3 linked regions of the Caenorhabditis elegans genome follow. The protein of the gene in region 3 purifies or fractionates together with the protein of the main gene of each other region. This does not show direct contact. Each region holds a gene or a part of one and is shown on either strand. Other genes may lie near its edges.

Region 1 (10,593 bases), on a different chromosome or scaffold from region 3:
CAAGTTGATTATCTAAAAATGTTTAAAAGTTTTTTGCTCTCTCTCTCTAATTCCTCCTCCCCTATCTATCTTTGTCCCTTGTTCTGTTTTCCCTCTGTATACTACCAATTGTCATCAAATTTCCAAAGATCCTTTGAAGACTTCTTGCTCCAACTACGATAATAAAGTCGTTTCGTTTTTCCAAGGAGCAATTAGGAACCAGTACTAAACCATTTGGGCGGGGGGGGGGGGGGGGAGAGTCTTGTCTCCCCACTCATAAATAATTCACCTGGAAAACATGATTAGTATGATTTGCAAGCCAGTGAGGAGCACGTCATTTTTTTCCGAACCTAGGTATCCTCTAATTTTCGATGAGTGGTCACACTTATATTTTGCTTTTTTTTTGTCTTTTGCCTTTTCCTTCGCTTTATTTTTCACACTCAGTTTTAATTTATACTGATGTTTTTAAAATTCCGGGTAGTCTATCAAGATTCTTCATTTCCGAATTAACCTTCTCTCTCTTTCTGCATTCAAAGCTCCGCCCCTTGTTTTAACAAAACAGGTGAAGACAAAATCAAATTGCTCCTGCGCTAAAATCGGTTTCATTAACTGCCAGTTAAAATCACCCGGCTCACACTTTTTCTTAATTCCATTCCCAAAAAAATTAATCTCTGAGAATTATACTTGTACTTCACAGGACGACATGCAGTACACCTTCTTTATTCTGATTGCTTTCTTCTTCGCTGGGGTCACCATGGCCAATCAGGTAGGGACACCAAAAATAGTCAAACTTATGAATTATTCGCAAAATGTTTAGGATTGGAAAATGAGGAAGTTTGGAGGCATTGGGGGTGGTGACGACATGGCGCATTTTGATGTAAGCTTTCATGGATGTCAGATTTTTTATTTTAAAATCTAAATTCAGAGGTTCATCACGCACAAACGAGCTATAAACGGGGAGCTCCGCAGGTCCAGTATTCTTTGGGGCAAACGGGCACATGCTTCAGGGCTGAGGAATTTTGAAAGGGTGAGTCAAGGAAATTTTACTTCTTCACTTCTGTGTTTTTTTTGAATTTACATAAAGCGTTTTTTTTTTTGGAACAACACTATTCTATTGATACACTTGAGAAATCCTAATGTTTTGAAGTTTTGGCCACGAGTTTAATGCAGGTGGAATTGTTAATTTTTGGCAAAGATAGAATCACGAGGAAATTTGTCATCCCTAAATAATTTTAAAACTTATAGTTAGCAGGTGCAATCAAATGTAGTGTGTTTTCAATAAACCACTGACTCATTTCATTTATTTCAATTTAATTTAATTCAGGACATCCCTCTGATTCCTGAAGATTTCATGGTGATGTGGCCGGTGGAATCATCCGAGAAAACGATCAAAGATGAGAATAAATTCGAAACGGTAAACAAATTACTTGGAATCCACTCCTTCCTGTTCACTTATGATTCTTGTTTCCAAGATTTCATCGAATCAGATTGCAGACCACAATATTGGCCAAGACTTCAAGACAGTCGTTGAATCAACATGAGACTGAAAATGAGGAAGTGTTTTCTGATGACAATCTGAAAATGGAGCGGGTGGCGAAAGCAGGAATCCGGCCAAAACTTCAACTCAGCAGCCGGCTTTGGGGGCGTTGAAGGTGCAGAAATGAGATAGTTGATACAATTTTTCTTTCCTCCAGTCCTTGTACTTTTGGTGAAATAAAGCTGTTTTGTTAGAGCTGTGATACAAAGTTTCCATCATACAAACAGTCTATTTTCTGTCAACCGAGTATAGCTTAAAAAATTAAAGCGTTTCAACCACGTCCCGATTATTTAAATTTATAATCGAGCAGTTACTAATAAAGGAAATTCAAGTCTGGTTACACCTTTTTTTGTTAAATTTTTTTTTGAAATGTCAGAAGAGATGCTCAACAGTGGGATACTTTTTTATAATTGCAAGACGTGCCTAATCCTTTATATAAGGTTTTGCATTGGACTTCCTTAAACTTAACACTTGTTACATCTTGGAGTTTTCTAAAATATTGTCAAGGTTATTTTGTCATAAAACTATTTTAGTGCACAATTATTCCATTGATTAAAATGCATGTTCAGTAGGTTGATGTGTGCCCAAATTTATTTCTACGCCTTTAAATGAACCGTGAAATAAACCTTTTAATTTGTAATAAAATTTTGCTAATCAGTTTTGATCAAATAAAATTTAGTCCAGTTTTAAGCTCTAGTATGTATACCTGGCCATTCACAAATTCAGAATTTGGTACAACTATCACAAGCGCAGTATTAAAACTGGTTTTGTCTAAAACACTGTACATAAAGTGACATTCAGATGTGTATGTGCGTGATTTCCTGCAAAAATTGTATACCTGAATGTAACGCAAGCAGACCAGCTAACACTTTGCATAGCGCATCGTTTCCTGATCGAATAATAATGATTCACACCTATTATCTATTATCCGCGGTTAGTTGGTGAAAGGAGATGAGGGGATTCTTGGCAAATTCTCGTTTCCGACCAATTCGCAGTCTTTATCGTCTTCCACAATTTCTTAGTATTATTCGTTTTTTGCCCTGCGTGTCGGCCCACCATTCATTTGCCCTTCCACAATATCTTTCGTCACACTTTTCTGTCCAAGCGTGAACCTTTGCTATTCAAGTGCACTCAAGCGAATTGCCAGCATTACAGAAAGTGTATAAAATGATTATAAAGACGGGTGTGAAAACTGTGTATTCGCAAGATGAAAAAGTGTGGACTTTTGGTTAAAGCTAGTGGAAATTTTTATTTATGTTTTAATCGTTCAATGACTCATTTTTCTTATCAAGGGGTTTTTGCAAGATTATATAAGTTTATGATTTTTTTTCATTAAAGTTCATTTTTTAAATTGCGCAAACATGATTGATACGTGAAAAAATGAAAAGATATATTTTTTAATTTTGCTTTACAAAATTGTATTTCGGGGGGCGGATAGCTCAGTCGGTAGTGGTGACCGCTAGAAATCTGGAGGTCATAAGTTCAAGTCCGGCCTCACCCCCTAGGTTCACCCAGCCACTATTGGGCTTAATGGTATTATGCCTATCATAATTTGTAGTCCACAAAAAAATCTTTGTTTGCCAAACTTCATTAGCTCGAATGCTCTTGCGACCACTGTTAAAACATTAATTCGTCCAAAGTAGTTTAAGAGTTATTCTATATGCCGGCGGTATTATTTTTCCACTAAGTTTCCCAAATATTCTATAGTTGAGAACCGAAGTATTATAAAATTACAAATAACTGTTGCGTTATTTCTGACATTGTTTCTGTAGTTTTTGAGATTTTTTGCCCACAAACTCCATCATTCATTTAGGTCTCCATTCTTACAAACAACATTTTGAAGTCGATTTGAAAAGATAGTCACATGAACACTGATTTTGTAAAGCGTCACAAATATTTCCCTTCTCAAACACACCTAGTACACACCATTAAAAGTTCCACATTAGTTCTTGTTCTCGTAACTAGTTTTCTTTTGTGAAATTCCAGAGGAATCAAATTTTATGACAAGTTGAAAAATTAGGGCGGACGACGACGAGGTGAACACTAAATCAAAGACCATTGGAATCTTCAATGTTCTCCTGGTCAGTCATCGTAGAACATTTCGCTTCCTTATTTCAGTTTATTTTTCCTTGTGGTCTCTGCCATAGTCCCGTTTTGATTGAAAGTCTAGGTCCTTCAACAATGCATATCATACCCGATTCTCTTTTTTCATGCTTAGACAGATCTCTAAGCTTACGTAACAGGTTCCTTCCATTCGTATCGTTTTGCCCCATTTGACGATTTTTCTTTTTCACAGCTACTTTCTTGCCGCATTTGCATTAAATGCTAAACTAAGATTGATTCAAATATTAGATATGAAGATGTTTCGATGATGGAACTATTTGAATTCAGTGACTTCTGTGACTTTTTCTATACTGTTCTTGTAACTTTCTGTAAATTTTTACATAAACGGTATCTTACAGATTTGTCATGATTACAAACTGCCTGATATTACTGGCAATTTTGTTTGGATTTGCATCGACTCAGTATCTGAACTTAAACCTTCATAGACATCAAAGTTGTGCATGGAGAAAAAGTAATTATTAAACTATCGTTGTCACTTTTTTAATACTTTACGTGTTACAGGTTCTCACTGGAACCGCAAAATCGAGTTCCAGGGTGGCCACTCGGATAGTGGAGCGCTACTCAAGTCAACTGAACAGAAAGGGTGCTATGCAATTAGTGTGAGTTAGCCCCCAAGAGTGTTTTATTTTGATTTTTGAAAAACAATAACAATGCTTGATGATTGACGTTATTACAATAATAATAATAATTCATTTTCTTTAGGGAAAAGTGAAAATTCATGAGGATGTGAGCGACGAGTTGTTGATCTACTTGTCCGTGTCGACCACTGGTGACACTCAAAGACCACCGGAAGTGTGCAGGGATGCCAATCCGGACACTGGTTGTGGAGGTGTTGGATCATGGTAATGAGTTATTGACAGAAATATTAGGGAAATCATCAAGATTCTAGAGCTAGAAAAAACATTAGGAAATGAAAAAAAAGCCTTTTGAGCAGTTAATGATAGATGAACAGCTGTGAAGTACCTAAAAGTTTTAAGTTAGAGGTCACTCTTAAAACAAAAAGTATAACTATAACAATTTCATACATAAGTGTTTAACCTGCAAAATAAATTAAAAAAAAAGAACTGAAGAGAGTGGGATTCGAACCCACGCCCCCGAAGGGACTGGTGCCTTAAACCAGCGCCTTAGACCGCTCGGCCATCTCTCCACGTACTACGCTATCATAATTTGTCGTTATGTTATAACTTCAAACAACAAGATTTAGTTGTATTTCGATGATTACGAAATTTAAATTTTCGAACTTGAAAATTTGTTGTTTTGTTGTTTCCAAAAAATGACGTAAACACTGCTGTTTCAGTCTCTACTGCCGGCCATGTGATTCTTTGGACTCTCTCACGAAAATTCTCGGAGCTCAACTTGTTGTGAACGGCAAACCAGCAGGATGTGAGCCATTAAAAGTGAGCAACATCGTTAAAAAAAATTTACGATGCAGTCAATAACACTATTTTTAGAAAGGAGAATATGATAATGTTGAACTCCGTTTCTGCCTTCCGAAATTAGCTGCATTGTTGGAATGGCAGGGAATTTCAGAAGACGCGTTAGATCACATTTTAGCTGCTACTACTCAGGTTTGACAAAATGAAAATAATTATTGAAAGAAAAAGTGTGTTTCAGGAAGGAAATGGTCCACCAAAGCTTAGTCTATTTGTGACCGTTTATTTGTTCGACAAGGATATTAAACCTCTTCTAGTGTAAGTTCTGAAAATTAAATAGGTTTTAGCCAGATTTACAGTTTCATATACCATCTAACAACCATTCACTATATTCGAGACATATATGTCACATACATTACAGCTATATGAAAAATAACACTATTTTTCACGAGTAGAAAATTTTTAAACAAATAGAAAAATGAAATAATTTCAGCTCTCAACGAAAACTAGAATCTCGCATCCGTGAACTTCGCAAACTTGGCGCTGATGAGCCAGTTGACTCTCAAACTTATTGGAATCTGCCATTCAATCAAATTATCAAAAAGCAGTCAGTTTTCGTTGGATGTCACAAACTTTACGGAACCATTAGCTTGAGCGACATTCAAGCCAAGAAGAAATAAGAAAATATATTTGGATGAACAACGATGATAACTTCATGTTTATTCATTTCGTTTATGCGGGTTCATTTTTTGTGAATTATGAAATAAACACAATAAAAATTATGAATTAGATAAGCAAATTGATCTTGACATTTAATAAATAACAGTCAATCTTTATGGTGATACTGTGCTCAAAGACTCGTTGTGTAAAAAACAACAGTTTTGTCTGGTATCCTTTTGAGTATGTTTTTTTACATTTCTTCAATATGCATTTTATTCAATACAACCTCAATATTTTGCTAGCCTCAAAATGTTTCTGGGATTTTGTTCAAAGTATTCTGTATACCCTTTACTTCTAGAATTTTTATTCTTGTGTATACAACAGTACACGAATTCTACAGAAAAATCTTGCAAAGTTACTAATAGTAAGGAAAACTGGAACTATATATGTTGTTGGTTAGAGATCATAAAGTGATATTTATGTAACACATCTGTAAAACTTTATTGCATTTGTTCTCACTACTAGTTGAAGGACATAAGGCTTTTGATTCATTATTTTCCTTTTTTTTTACTTTTTTCCCCTTTCCTTTTCTTTTAATCTCTTCATCTTTTCAGAATCTCATAACCTTCATGACCTCGAAACGCCATCCGACAATCATTTCACATTGAGGTAAAAGTAACACGAAAAAGAAAGAAAAAACGAGAAAAGTGGTTTTGATGGCTGTCAGACTTTTATTACACATTTGTACAATTCATATCTATATTCCCCTTTCACCCCCACCGTCACTGTAAACTATTCTAAAATCCAGCTGAAAAGGGGTGTGAAAGAAGGGCACGTCCTCGTCGCTTACTTCATAAGCCATGACACCTTCATTTGCGCATCGGTTTCAGTCGCAGATGTTGGTCGTTTTCTTAGCTTCATCGTGTCTTTTCGTTTCCATTTCCAACGCGTTGGAAAACGTTGAGTTGGGAAAAGATCTGAGTGTAACTCTTGAACTCATCAAACATCAACCATGCAAAAGTAGGTTTACGAGATTTTAAACCAAAGCTTATTTGGTTTTCAGGTGGTAAATGGACAAAGAAGTTAGAATTCGAGTCTGGAAATGATAGGAGAGGCCCGAAACTTGAACCACAAGCCGATAAGCCAAACTGTTTTACTATCGGAGGCCAAGTAGAAGTTCTAGAGGTAAAATATTGTGCTTTTTGTTTTGTTAATATTCCGTGTCTTGAAGGAGGACTAACGGTTTGGATGATTTTGAACGTTCAAACCCAAAATGAGCTCAAATAAACGAGTTTCGTAAGGAAACTTCTGATAAATTTTTCAAAATTTTTTTATGGCGGTTCAAAATTTTGAAAAAAAAATACACTGATTTTAGCTAAAATCTCGATTTTTGGCAACTTTTCCGTGTCGCAGCGGGGGACGTAGTTGACTTTTTTGGAATCATCGCCCTTTATTGCATATTTTGGTAGTTTATCTCATCCAATTTCATTGATTAAGGCACATTTAAAGCCGACAGGTAACCAATTTTGATGATTTTTGGTTACCTATCGGGTTTAAATCAATGAAATGTGATGATAAAAAATTACCAAAAGATGCAGGAGGATAATTCCAAAAAAGACAACTTCGGACCGCTGCGACACGGAAAAGTGGCCGAAAATTGAGATTTTAGCGAAAATCAGTGTATTTTTTTTCAAAATTTATTCATTCCAGCCCAATTCGGATTTATACGTTCAAAATCGTCCGAACCGTTAGTCCGCCTTTAAGACCGTGTTTTTAAGAACATCAACACAATCTGTATCTTTAAATGTAGTCTGTACAATTTAAAAATCACTAAATTATACCTTACTGAATTATTATTGGGCAAATTGAATTTTTTTATGCCAACGTGACAACGTGACAACATTTTAAATCAATATCATTCAAAACTTAATGTTTTTTTTCAGTATTTGTGTAGCGTATCAAAAGTTTAAAAATTATCTTACCCTGAGAAATAAAGAATTCATCACAACTTCTTATTACTCTCTAAGTATATACTTTGAATGAACAATAAAGCTACATAAAAAAATAAATTGAAACTCTCTATTTCAGGACTTTGGCGGAGATTTCTCCATTTATCTTGAGCTGAAGAACACTGCCAAAAAAAATACTGTCCCAGAGAAATGTGTTCGACAACCTGAAAACGGATGTGGAGGATTTGGGTCTTGGTTTGTTGCTATTAATTAATGTTGTCATACAATATTGATTTATCTTTTTTTCAGCCTGTACTGCAATGCATGTGAAACATTCGGTGACAAATTAGGAGTTCGAGCACAGCTGCTCCTCGATGGTCAACCAATCAGCTGCGCTGACGGATTGAAAAAAGGCAGCTATGACAACTTGAAGCTTGCTTTCTGTCTTCCAGACATTGATGATGTCATCAGCTCACAAGGGCTTAGTAAGGAGTCATTCTTGCAGCTGATTCAGGGTGATGTAAGTCTAAAGGTCAAAAAAGCAAAAACTGGCTGGAAATTTCAGGACGGAAACTCTGTTCGTGCTATGGGGATCTTTGCTACAGTCTACGTGTTTGACTCTGACGTCAGCAAACAAATGGCGACTCAAATCAAAATCGAGGGTGTATACCGTAGAACCAAGTACAGTTTTTTCAAGGTAAATCACAAGCTGAATTTTTCTCTTTTTAAAAGAGTATTTCAAAAATGTTACAGGACACTCAACTTCCGGCTGAAGTCTACTGGTCTCTTCCATTCAATCAAATTATCAAAAACCAACAAAGCTACGTGGCATGCCATAAGATTTACGGAAACTTGAAAGTTAACCGTAAATAATTTGTGATTTTCTAACCTAATTTTGCTTGTCTGTAAATAAATTTATTATTTTTTGAAATTTTTTGTGACTGTAAATCATACGATTTGGTGGCCCATGAAACAGTTGACGTGAAATAATACGTGCAAAGGAAGATTTATAACAATCAAATTCAGCAAAGAAAATAACAAGGAAGCTATTTCTGTGGGTGGCAAAAGTTTGACAACACAAACAATTTTATGGACTTCAAACTAAACAGTATAAAAACTGAGACCCGGCCATTACTTTGTATTACATTTTTAAATTAGTCAAATATTTTCAGAGCAAGAACCTGTTTTATTATATTATGGGTTACACATTTTATCTTGCGAGCTATACTTAAAAACCGACTGTTAATATAAATGTTCCATGGAGCCTAAAAATGTATGATTTTGTTACAACTCATTGATAACCATAGTGCCGCTCACTATAGAAATGACACAATGGACAAGAAAAGATCAAAATTTATCCAAAAAAGATAGGTTCCACCGAGATTTGAACTCGGGTCGCAGGATTCAAAGTCCTGAGTGCTAACCGCTACACCATGGAACCCGGTGAGCTTCGAGAACTTGCTCCGAAAGAACATTCGGTTAATAGACATGCTGAGTTTGCTAATGCACTTATCGGGAAGGCCCAGTCGCTCAGTTAGCAGTGAGCACATGAGCGGCTACAATGTGCTAAAGAGTGTCTATCGCAGCGATCAACATTTCTAAATGTCAATTCTGATAGCAAAGTTTTATGGATAACAATTCTGTGTTAATGTAGTTTCCATATACCTTTTTTCGGGTTTCAAAAACTTTATCTTTGGTAAACATCTTTTTTCTGTGTGAAACTTAATTAGTGTATTCTGTTGCTACAATTGTTTCTACCCGATTAATTGATAACTACAGTAGCACTTGCAACAGAGTTTGTACAACTAAAAAAACCTCCAGAACAAACCATAAATATATTCAAAAAAGATAGGTTCCACCGAGATTTGAACTCGGGTCGCAGGATTCAAAGTCCTGAGTGCTAACCGCTACACCATGGAACCCAGCGATCTTCAAGAAGTTTCTCCGAGTTGACAATAAGCTAGCTTTTGATGGACATGTTGCGTTTGCTTATGCACTTATCAAGAGCATTGGAGCTTCCTTAAGAGTGAGCAAAAGGGCGGCTAGCTGTTCGGCGCAAACAAAAAGAATGACTGAAGTCTGCAAAACTAATTTCCGAGAGATCACTATTTTTATTAACAAAATTCAATTTTTTGAAGACATTTATTAAAATACTGGGAGTTTGAAACAAATATATTTCAGTACTAATTGCAATACTAACTTTGTAAAGTGCTTGAACTCATGGTAATCAATCTTCAAAATGTATGATTATAAGACCTGCCCTTTGATACCAATGATTCAGTTTACTGTTATTGAGAGTTTCATTTTTATATTATTTTTGGTAAACCCATTATTCTTCTTATTAATCTTTTTCAATTACCACTCATTTGCCATAAAGAGAACAAGACCGCTGACAATCGGCCACCCTGTGGATCTTAATCGGTTTCCCAAAAGAAACAATTATGGATGTTGTTAGATTACAATCGACTGCAGGTAGAAATATTTTATATTTTTCTAATAAGCAGCAAGACTTCAAAAAGAACATTATTTATATGTTTACCTGTTTCCCAGCATGAAATTACTCGTTAAAGGAAGAGTTTCCTGGCAGGGGAATAATGTTTGAAAATATTAAAATTATACTAAAATTGGCAAAAAAAAATCATGATTGCAAATGCTCAAACAGTCATAATACCAAATCTCTGACTAAACTTTTCGGCAAATCGAAAGTTTGATGACGTATTTTTTAAATACAGTAAATCCGTCCGAACTTGAAATATGAATATTCGCTCTTTCAAAAATGTCAAAATTACTTTTTCATCATCTGAAATACACCTTTCAAGATAAAACACAGCGACGTTCGATCTATTGTGATTTGTGCCACTAAGTTTTAAAAAGCAAATCCAAGGTTTTTTTTCAGTTTTCTGCCACTAATATTGGACACAAATTTTAAAAAAAAATCAAGCTGAAATTATGAGCAATTGGTGGCCAAGAA
Region 2 (10,320 bases), on a different chromosome or scaffold from region 3:
TCAATCCGTTGAAAACTGTTGTGATAGAAGATGTACTTCCCAGTGAAGAGTATCCAGACGAAGAGCTTGCTAAACTTTTGCTCGCCAGACTTCGTGACGCTGCAGAAGATAGTGATGACGTCGCACTGCTATTTTTCTTTGGATATCTGAAATTTGATGCCGCTATTGAGCAAGGGGTGTCTCAGGTCATAAACTTACCGATATTCGATAGGAAGTCTGCTGTCAAAGTGATCTATCAAATTGCGATTTTTTCGTGACTTCTGTTGAATGTATTGAACATCATATCTTTTTGGTGTTGTTGCTATGATCGGTGACAGAGTGTATATGTTCTCAATTTCAGCATATGTCTGGTCCATTTGCTGAAATTGTAATTGATGAAGTGGGAGAAGAGAGGTGAGAGTGCAAGATAATTAGGTGATAGGTCATTGAGCAGCTGTAATTATTAGTACCACAATAGGGAAAAGAGAAATATGAGATGGATTATGATGGTTTATATGTATTAATATTATCAACGATCATCTGGAAAAGGATATGAGGGGAAACAATAAGGTAATAGTATCATCAACAACAGCTGTGTGATATTTGGAATATAATTTGGTGAAATTATTGGCTAGGCAACAACTCAAAAATTATGAAAACGTTTTAGTTGGAAGAGCATAGCAAGAATGTAACGAGACTATTTGAAAAATATTTTCTAAAATAAGTTAACAAAAAAAAATCCAACTCAAAAAATCCAACTAAAATCACAAGCTATTGAAATCACTGGAATGGTTCGAAACAAAAACAACAAAATCTATGTAAATAAGGAGAACTACCAAGAAAATTAATTACAAAAATTGAACGCATACTAAGAATATATAATAAACACAGTGAGCCCAAGCACATCCTCAACATTCTCCCCCCGTCCACCCAGTCTAGCTCCACCCTCACTATCTACGAGCCATCGAAACAACTGCAGCAGACAGCTGGAAACATTTTCCCACTGTAGGGATCAAAAGATCAAAGATTAGTTTTGACAATTTTGTGAACGATTTTTTAGATTCTGAAAAAGGTTTTTTTTTTTGGTAAAAAACTAGTCGAGATAGAAATCTGTAAGTTTAATAATGTAAAAAATTAAATTTAAAAACCAAATTTGGGAGAAAAAGATGAGAGAAATTGCAATTTTGAAATTGAAAGGGGATATTTATGTTCATGAAGATTTAGTAAAAATCTAAACTTCAATTGGAAACTCTCATAAATAGGCTAACCTTCGAATAAATGACCAAAACATAGATTTGGCATTCTAAATATCAATCCATAATATAAAAATTGAGATGATACAGGTGTACATTGCTCTGTGGGTGATCACAACACAATAGCGTTAAATTGGCAAGTGTGGATATGATGGAACATCTGGAATGGAACGCGAAGAGCAGAGTTGATTTAGGAGCAAAAGATCAGTCCAGGTGTAAAATTGGGTCACAATGATGTTTCAATGTGTTTTCAGTTCTACGTGTAACAGACCCTCATCTTGTTGATATGGAAGAGCATATTAATAATTTCGTTAGTAACTATCTAGCTGCCAGACAATCTCACTTCCACACTTACAATCACACTCAGACAGAATACTTCAACTTGCTACCGTAATATTGTTTATTGTCGCCTTCCGGTTTAATTGCAGGTGCACCAATCTCCACCTTCACTCACGAATCACCTTCTTTGACCTACATTTTCAACTTGTAAAGACACCTGTGAAACATCATGGTACGGTACATTGGAGATACTGTTGACTTTCAAACAATTACAGAATCGATTAAAAAACTATTTACTGTTAGATACAGGTTACTTGGTATTACACACCCACTTCGCCTTCATACACTCTTCACTTTTTCCAAAGATCTAAAGATTGAGCACACAAGAGAAACTACAGAATGGTCAGTAATTATCGGCAGATTAAAAAGATATTTCCCTGCGTTCACACCCTTTCTTTGTCTATCCTAGTACCCATGAGAACCGTCAGATAACGCCGAGTTTTTTTTTGGAAATCGATTTCATATTCCAAGTTTGGTCAACAAGAATGTGTTGGGCATCATGTTTGCGAGCGGATTTGGATTGGCACGTAAATATAAACAAACGCTTCCTGCTCGAGGTGCGACCATGGGCTCCGCGGTATATAAATCACCGAGAAATGCTACATTTCATAGCCGTCTTCCTTATTTGTTTTTTGCCAGCTATCGATAACATGCTCAACACGGTTTTTATTATGCTACTTCTCCCCGCAGCAGGATTATGTGCTAGATACAGTAAGATTGAAATTCAAAGTTAGGCTGTGTTTACAGTGAAAATTCTAGATTCACACCTCGTCAAAGGATGGTCCAATTCGGATTGTGTTCGCCCTTGGCAACAACCGTTAATGAGTAAACCAACATTAAGAATACCATCGAGAGCTATCGAATGCCATCCAGAAGAACACGTAGGTCTATTTTATGAAGAGTTCAATAATCAGAACCAATTACAGGATTGTCCAACAGGAAGAAATGCGGTATGCCAATACTCATTAAGAAGTCAGAAATATGTCTGCTGTGAGGACAAGAAAGATGCCGACATCCCGAGTGAGTTGACGCGACGATCTCTTTGACACATTGCCGTCTTCCTCCCGCCACGTGTCAAAGAGACCGCACGTATCTCTCATACTTCCGGTACGATCTAATATTCTTCTTTCAGCATGTCCAAAGTTCTATGAGACTCTTCTCTTGCCATGTGGGAATTCAGTTGATTCGCAATGCCCACGTGGATACCGATGTCTGGGAAGTCTCGGAGATGATTCGGTTAAACTTTGCTGCAAACCTAACAGAACATTAGAATACAGAGAACCAGAACACAGTAGGTGGCTGAGATAAAAGAATAAGGACATAATATTATTACAGCATTCCGAGAGAATCGAATTGTCCCTCGTCTGTTGCCAGTTGCTCCGGCATATGAACTAATTGTATGTTAAATGATGAATATAATACTAAACAACTTGATTGTAGGCAACCTTTAGCGACGAACAAATATCGATGGGTCAACTTTTCGACGCTGATATACTGGACAAACTTGCAGATCCTCCAGTCATGTCAGCAGGAGTTGAACTTCAAGACGAGAAGCTCTATACAATTATACTTGCAGGTTTTTTTGCTACAGTTAATTACAGGTATAATAAGCATTGTTATTGACAGATGCTACCTCAAAGGCTGTCACTTGGCTGGTTGCAAATATTGCGGCATTTGATGGACAGCTTGAGATTCATAGAAGAACAAAGTCTGCTGTGTCTTATCAACCCCCAGATTCTACTGATAGACCAGTTGGTAAGCTCGAATATATTTTTTCGTAATCTTAAACACAAAATTTAAGGAATGCACACCATGATTCTTGCGCTCTATGAGCAGAATGACACGTGGACACAGAAAGATTTGGCTAGAATTGCAATGGATGATTTCAACTTTACAGAATGGCTTGAAGAATATGCCCATGTACTTCCTGCACAGGCACTTGCAGCAACATTTTATGGATATTCTACTAAAAAGGACGATAGAAAACGAATCTAATTTATAATAACTTAAGATTCCTATTTATGTACAAATTTTAATATATAAAAAGAATGAAACATACGATAAAAAGTTACTAAAAAATAATTAAAATGAGAAAAAAAAACAATGTTAAAATTAGCGGCGAAAAGCTAGATTATTTACGATAAACAACATGCGCGCCCGTCATTTCGGAGTCTCGTAGTTTCAACAATCTTTTTTTTTGAGGCCCCACGAAAAGGGGAGCAGAACGAAAAGGGGATCTGAAAAAAGGGGATCTGCGAAAAGGGGAGATACGAAAAGGGGAGATACGAAAAGGGGAGCAACGAAAAGGGGATCTGACACTGTGCCAAACGCTATTTTTCTCGAAGAAAACGATACAACGATGCTCCGATGTTACGCGTCGCGTGTTGTTAAGCGTATCTTCTAGAAGAAAATTTCAAAAATCAACGTGCGTTGCGTGAGAAAAATTGCGTTTTGTGCGTTTGGCACAGTGCCAGCTCCCCTTTTCGTTGCTCCCCTTTTCGTATCTCCCCTTTTCGTATCTCCCCTTTTCGCAGATCCCCTTTTTGCAGATCCCCTTTTCGTTCTGCTCCCCTTTTCGTGGGGCCTCTTTTTTGAGGAAATTAATTTTATAAAATTATTTTGAATTTCCTTTTTAAGATGCTTCGCATTATCCAACGTATTCCTACTGAACGATATCTCTGTACTCTTCCTGTGAAAAATCCAAAGCTTCACAGAACTAAAGATCAGAGAGATATTACGTAAGATTATGCTTTTTTAAACCTTCAAGTTTTTAATCAACAATTTTCAGAAACATGGACTTACTTGAAGAACAAATTCGTATTAAAAGCGCAGAAAAAAATCGCGAAATGACAATACAAGGACAGAAAGTGAAATGGGCTTATCGATCAGAGGTAAATTATATATACTGAAGAATATTCTAAAAACTGATTTAAATTGATTTCCAGCTTGTCGGCCGACATGACCTCGATAAAAATCATCGTAATACATGGATGGCTTACCTAATCATTATTCTTGTCGGATTCGGTGCGTTTGTAACAGTGAAATCTCAGGTGGTAATGGGTCGACGCCAGGAAATGGATGCTCGCGAAGCTCTCAGAAAGGAGCTGCAATTGAGTGGAGACGATCGAAAAAAGATTGGAGTAGTCTGATAATAATTCATATTGTTTTATTGCGGGTTTCTTTATATATTTTTTAGTTAGAACCCTATTTTTGTTTTTAGAAATAATAATTAGTTTGTTTAAATCTCATTTTTCTTTTCTGTTTCTCAAATTACATTATGGTTTGGTAATAACCTTGCAAATATTTTTATCGTAATTTCCTGGTCAACATCAATATTTCATATTTTTAAAGTAATTTCAGAATGTTGAACGTTGGTGATAGTGTTCAAATTGCCGGATGTTCAACAAAGAAACGCTTACTGGAAACTTCAAGTGGTTGCGATTCATTTGACACACTCATTGGAGGAGCTTTAGTTAATTCAAGTATTGTTCTCATAGGTAATTTATTAATTTAGTTGCTACCTGTTCATTAAATACCCGCTAACCTAAAATTAAAATCACATTCATTTTCAGACGAGTATCGTTCTCGTTGCTATGGATCTTATCTCATTCGTTCATTCCTCGCAGAAGGACTTCATCATGGTCATCGATGCTTCATTGCGGATCCCACGGAAGATCCCAAAGAGATCAATCTCATACCATCTAGAAGAACATCCACGGATATGCAAAATCAAGAAATTCCAAATTCTCTGCCGGCAGAAAATGAAAACTCGATGAAAATTGCGTGGCGGTATGGAAATGTAAAACAAGTTTCCTCTTCCCTTGGACCATTAAGCAACGAAAATCAGTATGACTTTACGAAGCATGTAGAGAATCCGAATGTTGACGTGTATGCGGAGAAAGTTTTTACGCTAAAAGGGATTTACGAGACGCTCTGCCAAATTGTAAAAGAAAATGAAGCTCACACAAAATCCGGCGGAAGAGGTGAGATTTTTATTGAATTATTATACATAAACTAATGAATTTTACTTCAGGTGGACCGAAAAAGAATCTTCTTCGAGTGGTTCTGAAGAATATCGATATGGAAATTTGTGAAGATTACAAGTTCCTTGGCCGATTCCTGTGCTGTCTCCGATCTTTAGCTCGTTCGAGTTACATGATTGTATACATCACGGCTAACTCCTTCAGAGTTCCGAAACCAACTTGGCGTATACTGGAATCCGCAGCTGATACACATATTCAACTGATGCCGTTTGATGAAAATGAGAAGAAAATGTTCAAACATCTTGGCACTGCTCATGGATACTTCCATTTGAAGAGTTTGCCCCGATTGATGTCCGTTGGAACACACACTCCACCGATTCTCGATCTTATTTTTGAAGCAAGTTCCAGAAAAGGTTTCCAAATTCGAGTGATGCATCTTCCACCTGCATTTGATGAGCCAGCTCCAGGTCATCAAAATACTCCATCTTGCCAGAATATTGATTTTTGATTTTCTCGATCATGTTTATTTGTTGTTGGGATGTTTGAATGTTGAATTTTAAAGTATTTAATTTAAAGCATAAAAACGTCTTCTAAATATTTAACAAAGCTTATAAATTATGTTTAAGAAAAGACACGCTGTGGTAGAGAAAGGATAGAAACAAATATACATGAAATGATTATCTGAGATCTACTTTTAAATTAGCAGAGAGAATTGGATCAGGACACGTTTCTTCTGGTTTCAATATTTTGTCACTAGCGGAGGAGAGACGGAACGATCCATCCTGACAATATGTAATCAAAAGATTGAGACATGGAGAAGAGAGATCCATCTCGGTGGGAATAACATCCAGTCGAAGGCCAACTCGGTTGTGCTGTCGGAACACGATGACGTCACTGGAATACCATTTTTAGTCAATTAAAAACAAGAAAAAACTAACCTTTGGTCAGCATGAACTCCAGGAGCAGCAGTATCCGATGCTCGCGATGATGGAAGAAGAAGCTGGATTGGATCACTGGAACATTGAATGAAACCATTTCCAGATTGAGGTGCGATAGTCAAATCCATTGCAGATGATGATAAGTTGGTAATAGAGAGAAATACGTGTGATGTCTCCCCAACTTTAAGATCATCAACCGGTCGAGACATTCTGATGTCAGGAACAAATTGACGGGCAAATGACTGAAATTTAAACTTTTTACATTATTGTTGAATGAGCTACTCACCGAAATTTTAAATTTAAAGGTAGTAACTCCGAAGTCTCGTTTGATAAGAGTTCTTTCGCACTCATCACATCGAACTTGAACTCTTCCAGCCAGAGGAACTTGTACAGGAAGGAGTGGCTCAGAGATATTGATCAATGGTTGCATTATGATTTGATCGAGAGTTCTCAGATCATCCGTTCTTTCTTTAATCTCATCTTCAAGAGTCGGCGCTTCTGTTGGAGCATGTGCATCAACTGGATTCATTTCAGGAGCCAGTGCTTTTTTCCGCTTATCTACCATTTGTTGAAATCCAAACTTGTCTTTCAAGTGAAAAGCAGTCCAGGCTTTGCCCGATTTTCCCTTTTTCAAATCTTTTGGAGCATTTTCAATCAATTCAAGTCTCTTCATGTATGCCGTCACCTCACCAAGTTGATTAACCAATGGATTTTCTTTTCTGTATAAATAAAATGTCATAAGATCATATTTACAGTTAGTCATACGTTGGCCAGGATTTAGTATTCTCTTGATCTTCTTGATTCGCTTCTCTTGAAGACCAACGACAGTACTGACAAACCAAATATACATTATCATTTTCTGTACGAGCACTCAGAACGTTAGCTGAAAATATTCAAATATATTTACAAAATAGTGGATAAATCATACCACACTTAGGACAATCATTGCAACTTGCGCATTTATGCTTTTTAAGTCTTGCTTCAGGGACGCTTGATGGTTCAAGGCATCGAGGACAGAAAATATTGTCAACTTCTCCCAAGCTACAGTCATCACACCTGGAAAAGTTGGTTAATTTTTTTTTTCAATTATTTTTAGACAATTACCCATTAAAAAAACTTACTTAATTTTGAAGCAATATCGGCAGAAAACAAGGTCCGGAAGGGTTCGAAATTTTCCACAGGTGCACTCGTATTTGATTCGACTGTACTGCAGCAACTCGCTCATATTGAGAACCGCAACCGCTCCTAAATGTTAAATTTTTAATTCGAAAATTTGAAAAAGTAGCAGTTTAATGTTATTTTAATCACAAAAATTAATGTTAAACTTAAATAATTATTTTTGTAAAAAAAACTATTTCACAACACGATCTCGTCCCTCGGCCGCGCTGAGATTTCTCGGCCACAGTATCGCACTCTCTCCTTTTAACATGGTCTCTCGCACGAGAAATTAGTACCCGCACAACTGGAATACGGAAAACTCAATTAATGTTGAAAATGCATATAAATAAATACGAAGGTTATTGAGGATGGAACACCTTTGACTTGACATCAATTACAAATATTTTAGAAAACAAATTAACTAATATTTTATAATCCGGATAGGGATTTCATTTGGGAGAAGATTGCATTTTACATACTAATTAAAATTGGGCTGGCAGGTCGTCGACGCAAGTGTATGTTATTACAGGAACACGATATTCTAAGAATGCATATTGCGCAACATATTTATAAAAATATATATTTGACGCGAAATAAACAAAATATCTCGTAACGAAAACTACAGTAACTCTTTTCATAAGTAACTACTGTACTGGTGTCGATTTACGGAAATAATTTTTAATCGATAAAATATAAATGGAAAACAGAAAAATGACAAAACAGTACGAATAAAACAAAAAAATAAAATCTCTGCCACAAGTGTTTTCGAACGGTAATTCGTTTCGAAAATCGGGACCGTAAATCGACACCAGCGCTACAGTAGTCATTTAAAAAAGTTTCGTAGTTTTCGCTATGAGATATTTAGTTCGTCAAATATGTTGGCAGTGAAATTCTCACTCGTTTTTCTTGGATAGTTGGGTAGAGTAAAGGGCTGGCAGTGAAACCGTACCAAACCACGCTATCGTGGTAGGCGTGATACAAGTAGTTGTACTACTTTGGCGAAAAGACCTTCCTAATCTGCAAAATCTTGAAGGTATACTGAAAATAAGATCGAGATTTGAGAAGCTGAAATTGTCGAACCTTTGATACTCATGTCAAAACTCCGATACAACATTGTAAATTTTTTGTGTGCTTAGCCTTCACGTGAAAAGTGAGTTTTCCACTGAACACCGTGAATTTCAGAAACATTTTCAGAGCGGAATTTACAGATTTCCAGAGGTCTTCGGCAAAATTTTATTTGATTCTGGTAGCTGATTACTTAATCTTTTCACAAAAAAATAAAGTATAACTTCTGTTATACTTCCAAGTTTATCCTAAGACCTAGTCAGAGAGGCATTTTTCTATTATATTCAGCACAAAAGAATGTAATTGGTTCTCAGTGAACATATTCTTAAACGACGTTTTAGTGTATTCTTCCCAAAAATCAAAAAAATTAACATTTACTAGATTGCAAGTTTATTCAAGTTCAAGAGATTCGCCTTCTTTAATCAAAACAATCGGCCACTTTAACGAACAACTCAAGGCTGCCGTCAGTCCCAGATGGAACGAGTTTTCCAAATTCGTGCTGCTTTTCGGTAAAAGTAGACGAAACGGACGTATGGGAACTGATGGATGAAGCATCAGAAGCGTGAGAAGAGGACGAAGAATATATAACTCCCAAGTTCACATAAATAGTCGGTGGCGATTTTGAAGATGGAGCTGGCGGGTTATAGTCTCTTCCGAAGATCTTGTTAATCTGCGACAAGTCGACCATTGACCTCTTCTTGCGAGTATTTCTACCCTTGAGAACCTGTTTTGCAGGGTTCATCGTGATTTTCGATCCGATCTCAGACTTTTCCGAGTTAAAATTAGTTGCCGATGATGAAAGCGATAGGTTTTTCTAAAAGTTCAGAATATTAAACTTTCCAGCAAAAAATATGATTTACCACAGTCGAACTAGACATCATTTGAGGAACAAATCCACACGAGGCGATTGTGATTGGCTTGTTTTCAGTCAGATTTAACTCGGAATTGCGTCTCGAGGAAGTCAATTCTTCATCTGCATCAGCCAAGTCTTTAAGATATACTGAAAAATTAAAATGGGTCTCCAATTATTTTCCGCCATTGCAAACCTTTGTAAGTCATGTCGAAGCTCTTGTTGGCCGGGAAATTCGTGAAAAAATCGTTGAATGTCGATATTATGTCACTTGCAGACATGTGAGCACTCTGAAAGTTTAAAAGTTGACATTTAATTGAAAGCACAAAAATTACCTCTTTAGCTTTTCGAGAAGTCATTGTGACCGTTTACAATGAATCAATTCAAAATACACAATACATTTTTTTTGAAGTTTCCAAGTATAGAAAATAAATTTGAAACGGTTATCACGTGGATATAAGAGTTAATAATTTTTATATCCAACATGAAAATAATGAAACAATATTTATTAAAAATTTCAGTTAAATCTTTCTACTCTTCAAGGTGTTGTCTCCATGTGAGAAAGCAGGAGTTTTCCATGGCGATCACAGAATCACAAACCGCACTTATGCGCCGAAACATCCGATCGGCGGATCCTGCGTTCACCGGTTTTCAATTTTTGACAATCGGTGAAATCGGCGATTAACACAAAAAATTTGCCGCAAATTTCCGTTTTGTTCTAATGGGGCATATACTAATGAATAAGAACTCAGATG
Region 3 (11,648 bases):
GAAAACCCTATACTATCTATAAAATTAATCTACGTATGTGTTATGGGCTGCTACTACCACTACGTCAGTCGAAGAACATTCTTCCGAGTGAGGGAGGAATGGGAGAAAATCGAAAAATTTTGGAGGCAAGAGGGATGTTGTAAAAAAAACTAGAACATTTTTAATGAGGAATATATATTTTGAAAAAAAAATATCAAAATTCGGAAACGTGGAATATCGAAATGAGGACTAATTAGAATTTTAAAATATATAAAAATTTGCCTGAAAGTTGCCAATTTTTTTAATAAAAATTGGCAACTTTCAGGCCAATTTTGAGCCCTTTCTCTAATTTTTCAGCTGAAATTAATGTTGGTTTCAGATAAATCAAGTGATTTTCTATAGATTTTCTATAGCCGTCCATTATTGAACCAATCAGAATGAGTGGGCGGAGTGTTCGAAGACGCTGATTGGACGGGGAGTTTTCATTTTGGAAGGAATTCAAATAGGGAATCTAACGAGAGTTGGGGAAATTCGCAATTCGATTTATTTCGTTTTTTTGTGATATTTTGTTTTTTTTTTTTAGTTTTTTGGTACTGAAATATTCTGCGTATTTTTAACATTTTGAAGAATAAATTTCAGAATTTTTTCAGAAATAACGGTTTTTTGCGAAAAAAATAATTTTTCGGTACTTTTTCAGTAGCAATACCCCCAAAATTTGTAGACATTGAAATAAAAATTACCCTGAATTTTTTTTTACAAAATTGAGCGTAGAAATAGAGGTTTTTGGAGTCAAAAAATTCAACTTTACCTCATTTTTCGATTAAATTTTATTTTACAAAATTAGTCCGACACATTTTTGATGTTTTTATTTTAAGAAAATCTGTGTATGATTAAAAAAAAACGATTTTTTCTAGTCATCAACCACACCCTCACCATACTATTCTTATCAATTCATGCACTTGATTTCTCATTTTCCTTGTACTTTTTCTCGCTTTTTAAACTAAAATTTGAGTTCAAAAAGAGGCTAAACTTACGGGAAGAGTAGTTTCCAGGGTACCCGATAATACCATAAAACAGTACATGACACCGTCCTCTGCAATTGCGTATGCCCATTCTCCTGTAAGAAACTGAATTGCAAGTTTTGAAGGGGAAAACGGGGGAAATTTGAACAAAAATCCGTTTCTAATTTAATTCTTTTTCTGCTCTACGAGCCTTTCCAGAGGAGAAATTATTTTAAAGAAAAAAATGGGAAAATTAGAATTTTGAAATCGGTTTTTTTTTTCAATTTTCGGGTCAAAATTAACCTTTCGGCGATAAAATGCAGTTGATGAAGTCTCCTTTCTCACGCTTTCCTGACGTCATCGTACGAACCACCTGAAATTTTTTTTATTGATTTTTAGCATTGAAAACATGAATTTCAGTTAAAAATCTTTTTGAAAAATGGAAATATACTGGAAAACGGTCCCGAAAATTGGGGAAAGATTTTTAGAACACATAATGTGAATAAAAAGCTGGAATTTTAAATTTTTCAACCAAAATTTAGAAAAAGTATGAAACAATACTTTTTCATAATTTTATTTTTTAATTTACACTTTACACAATTTAAACATATTTTTTTAATTTTTAGAAACATTTTTTGCATTGAAAAATGTACCTTTTCAAACAAATATACATTTTTCAATATTTTAATTTTTTTTACTTTCATTTTTTGTGTAATTAAAAGCATCTTAAATTTTTTTTTGCATTTTTTTAAACCTTTTTTTTACTGTTTTGGAAACATTCTTAGGCGCTTTTTTTGTTAATTTTACATTTAAAAATGCTCTTAAATATTTTTATTCCATTTTTCAGTTCTTAAACTTTTTTTCAAAATCATGTTACCTGTCCAGAAATATTAACAACGTAGAGGGTATTGGATCGATTGCATACAATCATTTGTGGTGGATCACTTTTCGGAATTGGAATCACATTTAATATTGGATAATCTTCACTTCCAACACGGAATGTTGAAAGGCATTCACCCGATTTTCCATGCCAAACACGAATTGAACCATCTGTTGAACATGAGATCTGGAAATTATTTGGGATTTTTAATTTTTTTAAGTCTAAATTTTTTTTCTGAAATTTAAATTTGAAACTTGGAAAAAAATATATATATATAGAAAAAAAATCAATTTTTCCGGATTTCTGCAACGTTTCTAAACAGTAAAAAGCAAAATCAATATGGAGGGGAAACGTCAGAAAAAGTGCACAAAATGACGTGTGTAAACATAGAAATATGTGGGATTTGTGTGAGAAAAGAAATACAGAGATAACATGCATTTGATTGCGGCTAACATACTACAAACTACAATTTTTTCCCGATTTTCTCGCGATTTCTTATATGTTTTTAGCTGTTTAATTGTAGTTATTTAATGAAAATTGTTATTTTTATTGTAAAACTTCAAAAAATAGATATAAATTTTGCAGCAATGAAAGTTTAGAACTACAGTACTCCTTAAAGGTGCACACCCATTTTCAGGAACCGTATTTTTTACGCAAAAAACCGCAAATTTTCGAATTTTAGTATCGTTTTTCGTAATATACAATTTGATTTGTTTCTCTTTATAAATAAAATTACAAAGAATTGCAGGTTTGAAAAAAACACGACTTTTTTAATTAAAATTTTCTGTTACATTTTTCAAATTTTTTTTTGCTTTTTTTTTTTTGCAATTTAACATTTAAAAACTGTCTCTAAACATATTCTTACAACATTTTTTAAATTTGTTTAAACATTAAATATTTTTTGCATTAAAAAACTTTGCATTTTTTCAAACTTTTTGAATTTTTAAATGTTTATTTTGTTCAATTTTTTAGAAATTTTATTTTTATTCTAAGCATTTTTGAAAACATTTTTTTGCGTTTTTTTTTTAATTTTACAAACTACAAATTAGTACAGTTTTCGGATTTTGTCCCAAAATATTTAAAAATTGATGCGTTTTTTAAAAAGAAAATAAATGAAAATTAGACTACAAACTGCACTTTTCAAAAACTCACAATATGATTTCCCTCATCGGAATATCTGACATCTGTAATATAACTCGAGTGCCCACGCATTTCCTTCAAACATTTTCCGCTCTTCATTCCATGAACTCTGAACAAAATTTGTAGTTATTGTAGTTATTAGATTCAAAAAAAGTAATTGTATAAATGTTTTGGTCCAAAATTTACAAGTTTTGTGAATTTTCTAGTTGAAAATTGAAAATTTGAAAATTACATTTAAAAAATTGTGTATTTCTCAAAACTTTTTTGTATGAAATTTTTTCTCAAATAATGACTTTTGGGGCTAAAAAGCATGAAAATTCACAATTTTAAGGGAAAAAATCGTATGAAAATTGTTTTTTTTTCTGGATTTTTTGAAGAAACTTCACAAAAAATTTAGGCGGTAGGCAGGCAGGTAGTCGTACCTCACAACATGATCATTTCCACCCGACAAAATATGTGAATTATCTTTTGAGAATCGAACAGCACAAACTCCTTTCGTGTGAGCTCTATCAAATCTTCGAAGACAATCACCAGTTTCCACTTTCCAAACTTTAATTTTTCCGTCAATTGAGCCTGTGGCGAGCATTTCAGAATCACGACTAAATGATATACATCTCACTGCTGCATCCATCATCATTAGATTATCTTGGGCCTGAAAATATTGAAAATTGTTGGAAAATGAATGTAGATTTTTTTTTGTGCTTTTTTGGTAGGGTTACTGTAGTTTATGAAAAATTGAGGTGTAAGTTTTTGAGGAGGTATTGGGTTGGGAGCTGGTGGGGGGCAATGTTCAGGTACTGTAGGTATACGGTAAGGTTACTGTAGTTTGGAAAAAGTAGATTTTTTATTAATTTTTAACATGAAAATTGTAATTTTAGAGTAGTTTATATAAATAAATGGTGGCAATTTTAATTTCTCAACATTTTCGATTAGTCACTTTTTTAGGTGGCATTTCCTCAAAATGTTGAATTTTTAAGCTAAAAATTGTAACTTTTCTTTAATTTCTCAACATTTTCGTTTATTTACCATATTTTACGAAAATTTTAATGTAATTTCTCCAGAATTTTGAACTTTTCCAACCAAAAAAAATAGATTTTTGATTTGTTTTAATGCTTTTAAAATGACAAAATATGAATTTCTGAACATTTTAAATTATTCACTCTATTTCAGGTGAAATTTCCGAATTTTGTGGCAATTTTAATGGGATTACACCGAAATTTTGAAGTTTTAGATGAGAAAAACTGATTTTTTTTCTAAATTCAAGAGTGTTTCCATCCAATTTTTTATAAAAAATTTAAGAAATTTGATGTTTGTGGAATTTTTATTGCAATTTTGAAATTTTACGCAAAAATTTCGGTTTTTTTGCGAAAAATGCGCTTCCAAAGTTATTTTTCTTCCATTTTGTGGAATTTTTGCAATTTTTCTTCAAAACAATTCATAAAAACCCTAGATTTTTATGATTTTCTACTTCAAAAACCCAAAAATTCTAAAAAATCTACCTGATATTTCAAATCCTTTCTCAATTTTCCATTCATATAATTCCAAACTTCGATAAATCCGTCTTTTGAGCCAGAAACAAGATAATTAGCGTCCGGTGAGAAAACTGCCGATTCGGGATAACTTTCTGAAAGAATTTAGGGTTTAAAAATGGAAAATTTGATATTTTCGGTAATTTTTGGAATTAAATCATAGTTTTTTAATTAATTTTCTAAGATTTCAGGCGATTTTTCATTCAAACCCCCGTTTTTCTTTTAAAAAACCCATAAATCCCAGTATTTTTCGATTAAAAAATCAATTTTTTGTTTAAAAATCCCTTTATCTAAAATTTTGACAAAAAATCTCTAAAGTTCAGAAATTAATTCAATTTTCAGATTTTCAAGTGGTTTCACTCGAAAAATTAGATTTTTCAATGTAAAAATGCTTGAAAAATTCAAATTTGATATTTTAGAAAGTGGTTGACTGGCTACAAAATACAAGTTTTTGAGTTTTTTCTGAATTTTTGTTGAAAAAATACAGACTTTAGGTCGGATTTTTAGATTTTCGAATTTCAGTGCAAAATTTTGAGTAAAAAAAACTTAATTTTTTAATTTTTAATTTTTAATTTTTTTTTTTTTTTTTTAATTTTTTTTTTTTTTTATAAATTTAATTTCTGAAAATTTTATAAATTTAATTCTGAAAAAAAAATACAATTTTGGTCCAAATAATAGTAAATTCGAAATTTTACTCAAAAAATCGAAAATTTAATTGATAGAGGCCTAGACTACAAACTACGAAATTCAAATTTTCTGGATTTTTTTCAAAAAAAAATATTGTAAAAAAATTAATAATTAAGGTCGGAATTCTAGATTTTTGAGAAACCGCCAATTTTTATATTTATTTTCGAATTTTAGGGCATCATTTTGCAATTTTTGATTCCTAAAAAAATCCTTTTTTATAGGAAAAAATTGAAATTTTACAATATTTTCTAATCATTCACGCTATTCTTTGAACTTTCACAATGAAAAAAATTCCAATTCTCAGAAAATAGGCTCAGAAATCTAATTTTAAGTCGGTCAAAGCTTAAAAAATGCACTTTTTAATCAATTTTTCAAATTTTAAAGCAATTTCAATCCGTACTCGTTGAGAATTTAATGCTTCTAGCCATCATAGTCGGATATCTTTCTTCAATTTGCTCTTTCTGTGCAGCTTTTCCTCTAAATAAATCAATTGCAGTTCCAGGTGGAAGAAGTCCTTGATGAAGTTGCCATTTAAGTGATTGTCCAAGTAAACTCAAAAGTCTTGACGGAGCAACTACATGAACTTCTGATGAAAGAGTTTGTGCAATTACGGAGCGTCGTTTCTCTTTACTAACATCTCCATAAACCTCTTGTCCATCGAAATACGGGCGGTTGATAAGAGATTCCAGGCGGGCGAATCGATCCGGATCAATTTGTTTTAGCAAAATCATTGGATCAGTCTGACGGGCGACGAGACGGGCGGTCGCCAGCTCACGGAGCTCCACAAGCTCGATTATTACCTGAAAATTTGAAAAATTTACGAGGAAATTGTTTTTTGTACTAAATTTTCAGGAAAATCTACAATTTGAGCCGAAAAGGTGAAATTTTATTTAAAAACTGCAAAATTTGGGGTTAAAATCTGGCAATTCTGAAGAAAATTCGCTTAAAAACGCGATTTCAACGTAGTTTTTGATTTTTTTTTTTTTTGTTTTACAGCGTGAAATAATGAATATTCAACAATTTTTGGTGAAAATCCCGCGAAAAATTCAATTTTTCAAGTAAAATCTCGGTTTTTTCCTTCTTTCCCATATCTTACATGTTCATACAGATCGATAAGTTTCTTGGCGGGTAATTTCAACGATTGAACGGTTTTCAACACGTTATCCCAATTTCCAGACGTAATTTCATTACAAAATCCATCAATTGAGTCGACTGTATTGAGCGAAACGTTGGTTTCTTCCTGAAATTATCGATTTTCTTTCATTTTCCCAGTTGAAAAATGCAGGAAAATACCTGCAAAATCGCCAGAGTTCGGTGCAAATTCGATTCTTTGAGGAATTGTTCGATGAGACGGATTACACTGAAAATATCGAGGATTAATGATTTTTGGGTTATTTTAAATGAATTTTTACACATTTTGAATGAAAAACTTTTTAGATAAACTTACTCTGAAGATTCGATCTCAATCGATGACATTTTCAGCGAAAATTCGGTGAAAAACGGCTGAAAATGACGTGTAAAATTCGAATATCCTCGGACACGAGAAGTGCGCCAGCCTTTTTGGAAGCGATCGGCAAATGCGCCAGCACGAGCGCTTGGCGTGTTTTGCGTTTTTGGAGCGAATTTCAAATTGGAGTTTTTTGTGGACTTGCATTTGTGTTTAAACTCTTTTTTTTTCAGAAAATATTTTTGCCTGAGATTTTTTTTCATGCACAGTTACAAAAAACAACAGTTTATCCGTTAAAAATCGATAAAATTCCAGAGATTTTTGCTTGACTACGTTAGTTCTCAAAATCCACAGTTTGCGTACAATGCATTTTATCAGCACGTTTTTCTGTTTTTTACAATTGATTTTTTTCCAGCTCCATTTTCTTCAATAAATATGAAAAAACAGGACGACATTCTTTATTTTTTTAAAATAAATTCTTATTCTCACACACGCACACCGGTACTTGTGTTCGTATGAATAGGTTTTTTGAGATTAAAGTATAAAATTTGAAAAAAAAGTTTGAAAAAAAAGGAATTATAATAAAAAGTGTGTGAGCAGGGGCTGTCGTCAGGAATACTGGGGGACTGGGCTTGTGTGTGTCGTTCGTTGGAGCTACCTGAAAACAAAAAAAAATTATTCCAAAAATTTCACTTTTCATTTGATTAACAACATTAAAATCAGTTGCTTACCTCAAAAATATGTGCTTGAATTGAACCAAATTTTAAATATCAGTGAGCTCTTCACAATTTGAAATCGTCAAAGCCTGACGTGCTCTGAAAATTATTGAAAATTCGAAAAACTGGAATTTCCACCGAAAACCGTACCACTGTATCAAAGGCGCGTTTCTCAAATCCAGTAAAACCTTGTCCAGCCAGTGAATCGAAAGCTCTTTTGTCAAAACCGCTGAAGCCGGATCCGGCTAGCGAGTCAAAAGCGCGTTTGTTGAACGCACCGAAGCCACTTCCCGCCTGAAAAATTTGGAGTTGTTTGGAGAGGAAAGACTACAAACTACAAACTACAAACTACATTTTCACCAAGAGCTTAACCATATGGGCACGTGGTGCCAGGCTGTCCTATTACGGTTTGATCTACAAAAATGCGGAAATTTTTCGCGCAGAAAAATGTGACGTCAGCACATTCTCAACCATGCAAAATCAGTTGAGAACTACGCGTCACTTCTCCCGCATTTTTTGTAGATCTGCGTAGATCAAACCGAAATGAGACACTTTGAAACCAAGTGTAGTTTGTAGCATGAAAAAAATTGTTAAAAATCTGGACTTTGCTCAAAAACCGTTAGAAATATTTTTAAAAATTCGTCAATTGAAAAATGTTTGCTTCAAAATTTTAAACATTTTTAACGAACTTTGGAACAGCTTTTTCTAATCGATCACCGAAAAAAGTTAGGCAGTAGGCAGACACACACGCCTGATGGCTTAAGGCCACCTTCAACTCACCAATGAATCAAATGCTCTTTTATTGAATGCTCCGAAACCTGAACCAGCAAGACTGTCGAATGCTCGTTTGTTGAATCCATTATCAAAACCACTTCCAGCTAACGAATCGAATGCTCTTTTCTCGTGAGGTCGATTCAGGAAGAACAATGAGCCAACTGGACGTAGTCGGACAGCTGCACTTTCCACTGTGGACATCTGGAATTAAAAACTATTTGAACCTTTTTAAATGTTAATAAAATAACTAGTTTTGCCTAAATTATATAATGTAGAAAAAACTAAGTTAGTATACTATTGATGCAGTATTACAGAATTATATGTCTTGAATTCAAATAGTGCTCAGCTAACACAGTTCTGTAGTTTGTAGTGTCTCCCTTTCACCCTCCACCAGGACCCCCCTAGCCATCCCAATATCAACGAGGGGCCCCCCTACACATGTTTATGTCTATGTCATCATGATGCCTGGCGAGTTTGTTGGCACTTTGTAATTGGAAAATTTCGTTTGACGCACTTCTTCGCTTCCCCGTTTTATTTCGCGTCATTGGACACGAGATGTGATACATTTTGTTTTTTTATTTTTTGGGAAGGAGGACTCACAAACTTGGGTCTTGACAAGAAGAGAGGTGGATTAAATAGTATTTACTTCAGTGATTGAAGAGGATTAGATGTTGAGGAAGTTCCGAGAAATGTCAGGATGTTAGGAGGACATAAGACACGGCATAAATTTTATGGTACGAAATATAGGACTGGAAAACAAGTTAGGACTACTAACAAAAAAATGTTTAGGGGTTCGGGGACGGACACTCGAAACTATAAGTTTGATATTTTTGTCTTCAACTGTTAAATGTGAATTCTGTTAATATATAAAAAGTTTCGCTATATATTTTATATATTTATTTATTTCAATACGTTTTTTAATCCCTTTTTTGTTGAATACTAAATTTGTCAAAATAGGTAATCGTGAATGTGGGGAAATTCATAAACGCACAGTGTCCGCCGCTAACTAACAGGGGTTTCACGTTGTTAACTAAACTTTGCCGTCTTTGCCGTTTTTTGGAACCACACGTGGTGCCAGGCTGTCCCATTACGGTTTGATCTACAAAAAATGCGCGAATGTTTTTGCCCAAACAACTGTGACGTATGCACGTCCTTAACCATGCGAAATCAGTGTCTCTTCTCCCGCATTTTTTGTAGATCTACGTAGATCAAACTGAGATGAGACGCTCTGATACCACGTGGCATCATAGAATTTTTGAAAAATACTTACTACGATTCTAAGTAACTTATATACATCCATTCCTCCTCTTCTTAGAAATAAGGGTCCTTGAGTATCACTATAATTTAACTAACATTAGTAATAATACAATCCCTTACCCTCTTTCCCACATAACATATATATTATTGAAGTTTGATCACCACCACCACAGCCCACTCATTTTGCACAAGAAACAAAAAAAAACATATTACTCTCCGTTCCTTTTCATTCATTCCCTCCTTTTGAAATTTTAATCAGTAGAAAAACGAAATGCATTAGTGTTTTTTGGGTTCTGCTGATGTGGCTGTGGCGCATGGAAAACGAACGAGTTGCAATTAATTATTTATGATAATGAGTAGTCGTCAGAAAATGGAAAAAGGTTTTTGGACGAGAATGGAGAAAAACTCGGCCACCGATTTATCGCTGGTTACAGTACTCCAAGGGTGAGATTTGTGTAGTGAGGGTTAATAAGACATGTGGAATTCAAAATTCAAAATTAAAATTTTCCAAAAAATCAGAAGTTCAAAAACTACAAATATGTTCTATCCACAGACCGAAGCCATCAGCATAACAACTATAGTACGTTCAGGCAAAGCAGTTTTACAGTTTGTCGTCGGGAGAAAATTTTGTTTTCTCTGTTCCCCATAAATACAGTAGACATCTCAGATCTTATTTAAATTCAGAGAACGTCTAATATTATTGACTGAAAACAATTAAGGCTAACAAAACTTATAGTTTGTCTCCCTTAGCCTCACCCACTTTGACTAATTAGTGATTAATGAAATCCGACAAATCTCGGTTTATTGGAACATTTATTAAAAAGTTCCCACATAAATTGGAAAATAGTTGATGAACCTTGGAAGAAATTAAATTTTGAAAAAGGCGGAAAAAACATTTAACTTTAACAATATTCGAAAGCGCTTTTCTATAAATTTTCATTGAAAATTAATGGTGAAATTTGGATAACGATTTTCTAAAATATGGTCTTGGAAATAATTAATTTGAAAAAATTCTCAAACTACTTTTCGAAATAAAATTTTATCTTAAAAATTTTTTTTCAAATTTTCAGACTCTAACCCTAAATTAAAATTATTTTTAACATCCGAGCCATCGTTGTGTTTTTTTTTTAATTTAAATGCAAAAAAAATGTAGAAAAAAAAAGTGTTTTTTTCGAAAGTTCTGAATTTGAACATTTTTGTAAACGTTTTTTTTTTAAGGTTGAAAAGGTTAATTTCCAGAGACTGAAAATCCAAAATAACATAAATTTTAACGTTACACAACTAAAAATGTAATTTTAAGAGGAAGTATTCAAAAAAAAAATTCCAAAAAAAATCGTCAAAAAACATTTTTTCGGAAATTTTTTAAAAAAATTATATTTTCCTCGAATAAGTTTTTGTTCAATTTCTGAAACCTAAAATCCTATATTAATGTTATTTCTAACATCTCTCCCTTCCTAATGACCTAAAATCCCTTAAAAAAACCGACACCTCCCCCGTCTTTCAGCTCACCGGCAAGCAGCCTCAAATATCGGAGCGAAATCGGAGAATTTCAGGCTATTTGTCATTGAGCACACATACACACACATATTTCTTTGATCTATATTTGATTATTGTGCTCCGATACGTGTCATTTAAAATATCTGACGTCATTCGGGTCCCGCCACGAAAAATCAAAAAAAAATGGTGGGAAACGTGACAAAAATCGGATTTTCAGGAGGGCTGGGATGTGATGAAAAATTGAATTATGTGTATAAGGAACGTCATACTTGCAAAAATATATATGTATGTCATTTTCAGAAAAAGAGATGCAACTTTTTCATTTTCTCGTTGCAAGTGAAAAAATCAGAAGCTTAAAAATGGGAATTTTGGCATATAGACCTCAAACTATATTAATTTTTGTTGACAATTTTCACTTATAGTTAGGACAAAATTTGTATGAAGTACAGGCCTAGGAGCTGAAAATTGAGAAATTTTTTTAAATTTAACAAAAAAAAGTTTTTTGAAAATTAAATTTTTTGATTTTTTAAATATTTTTTAAAATTGAAAAATTATTTTGAAAAAGCTTAAAGTATTAAGATATTGAAAAAAAAATTTTTTTGAAAATTTTCTAAATTCAAAATCCTATATTTTCGACAACAACTAACTCAAAATTTCTCTATTTATCAGTTTTTTAATAGTAAATTTAAAAATTCGGGAAACTCGGAAATTGAAAAAAACCTAAAATTTGATAAATTGAGA

What was found.
Region 1: the proteins of smu-1 (region 3) and gmap-2 fractionate together in Caenorhabditis elegans (co-fractionation; one large-scale study listed by BioGRID). This does not show direct contact.
Region 2: the proteins of smu-1 (region 3) and elpc-4 fractionate together in Caenorhabditis elegans (co-fractionation; one large-scale study listed by BioGRID). This does not show direct contact.

What each region holds. Positions count from the first base shown.
Region 1 is NC_003284.9:12,936,652-12,947,244, reverse strand, and holds gmap-2 (GM2 Activator Protein family member), read left to right. Parts: upstream 1-3,978; 5' UTR 3,979-3,985; coding exon 3,986-4,091; intron 4,092-4,141; coding exon 4,142-4,239; intron 4,240-4,342; coding exon 4,343-4,482; intron 4,483-4,705; exon of another isoform or gene 4,706-4,787; intron 4,788-4,937; coding exon 4,938-5,037; intron 5,038-5,091; coding exon 5,092-5,208; intron 5,209-5,254; coding exon 5,255-5,331; intron 5,332-5,506; coding exon 5,507-5,693; 3' UTR 5,694-5,803; downstream 5,804-10,593. Other genes in the region: nssp-88 (Neuropeptide-Like Protein), read left to right, coding at 683-745, 797-856, 905-1,006, 1,304-1,393, 1,474-1,629; gmap-3 (GM2 Activator Protein family member), read left to right, coding at 6,534-6,693, 6,737-6,858, 7,762-7,877, 7,932-8,142, 8,188-8,319, 8,376-8,495.
Region 2 is NC_003282.8:8,012,072-8,022,391, forward strand, and holds elpc-4 (Elongator complex protein 4), read left to right. Parts: upstream 1-4,922; 5' UTR 4,923-4,932; coding exon 4,933-5,068; intron 5,069-5,143; coding exon 5,144-5,554; intron 5,555-5,604; coding exon 5,605-6,062; 3' UTR 6,063-6,150; downstream 6,151-10,320. Other genes in the region: Y42H9B.3 (uncharacterized protein), read right to left, coding at 1-146, 199-356; C26B2.8 (C3H1-type domain-containing protein), read left to right, coding at 2,222-2,282, 2,331-2,452, 2,498-2,591, 2,704-2,862, 2,907-2,968, 3,012-3,147, 3,198-3,326, 3,373-3,566; C26B2.7 (Cytochrome c oxidase assembly protein COX20, mitochondrial), read left to right, coding at 4,209-4,309, 4,360-4,462, 4,517-4,720; dnc-4 (Dynactin subunit 4), read right to left, coding at 6,232-6,448, 6,493-6,734, 6,779-7,211, 7,258-7,375, 7,421-7,548, 7,614-7,717; C26B2.2 (Membrane-associated kinase regulator), read right to left, coding at 9,134-9,529, 9,576-9,715, 9,762-9,855, 9,901-9,924.
Region 3 is NC_003279.8:12,990,933-13,002,580, reverse strand, and holds the start of smu-1 (Smu-1 suppressor of mec-8 and unc-52 protein), read right to left. Parts: upstream 6,779-11,648; 5' UTR 6,693-6,778; coding exon 6,664-6,692; intron 6,577-6,663; coding exon 6,510-6,576; intron 6,457-6,509; coding exon 6,313-6,456; intron 6,017-6,312; coding exon 5,617-6,016; intron 4,625-5,616; coding exon 4,500-4,624; intron 3,653-4,499; coding exon 3,423-3,652; intron 3,110-3,422; coding exon 3,013-3,109; intron 2,047-3,012; coding exon 1,858-2,046; intron 1,354-1,857; coding exon 1,284-1,353; intron 1,097-1,283; coding exon 1,014-1,096; intron 1-1,013. Other genes in the region: nlp-15 (Neuropeptide-Like Protein), read right to left, coding at 7,446-7,478, 7,530-7,673, 8,160-8,354. UniProt on the Caenorhabditis elegans protein: Involved in pre-mRNA splicing as a component of the spliceosome. Selectively regulates alternative splicing of unc-52 exon 17.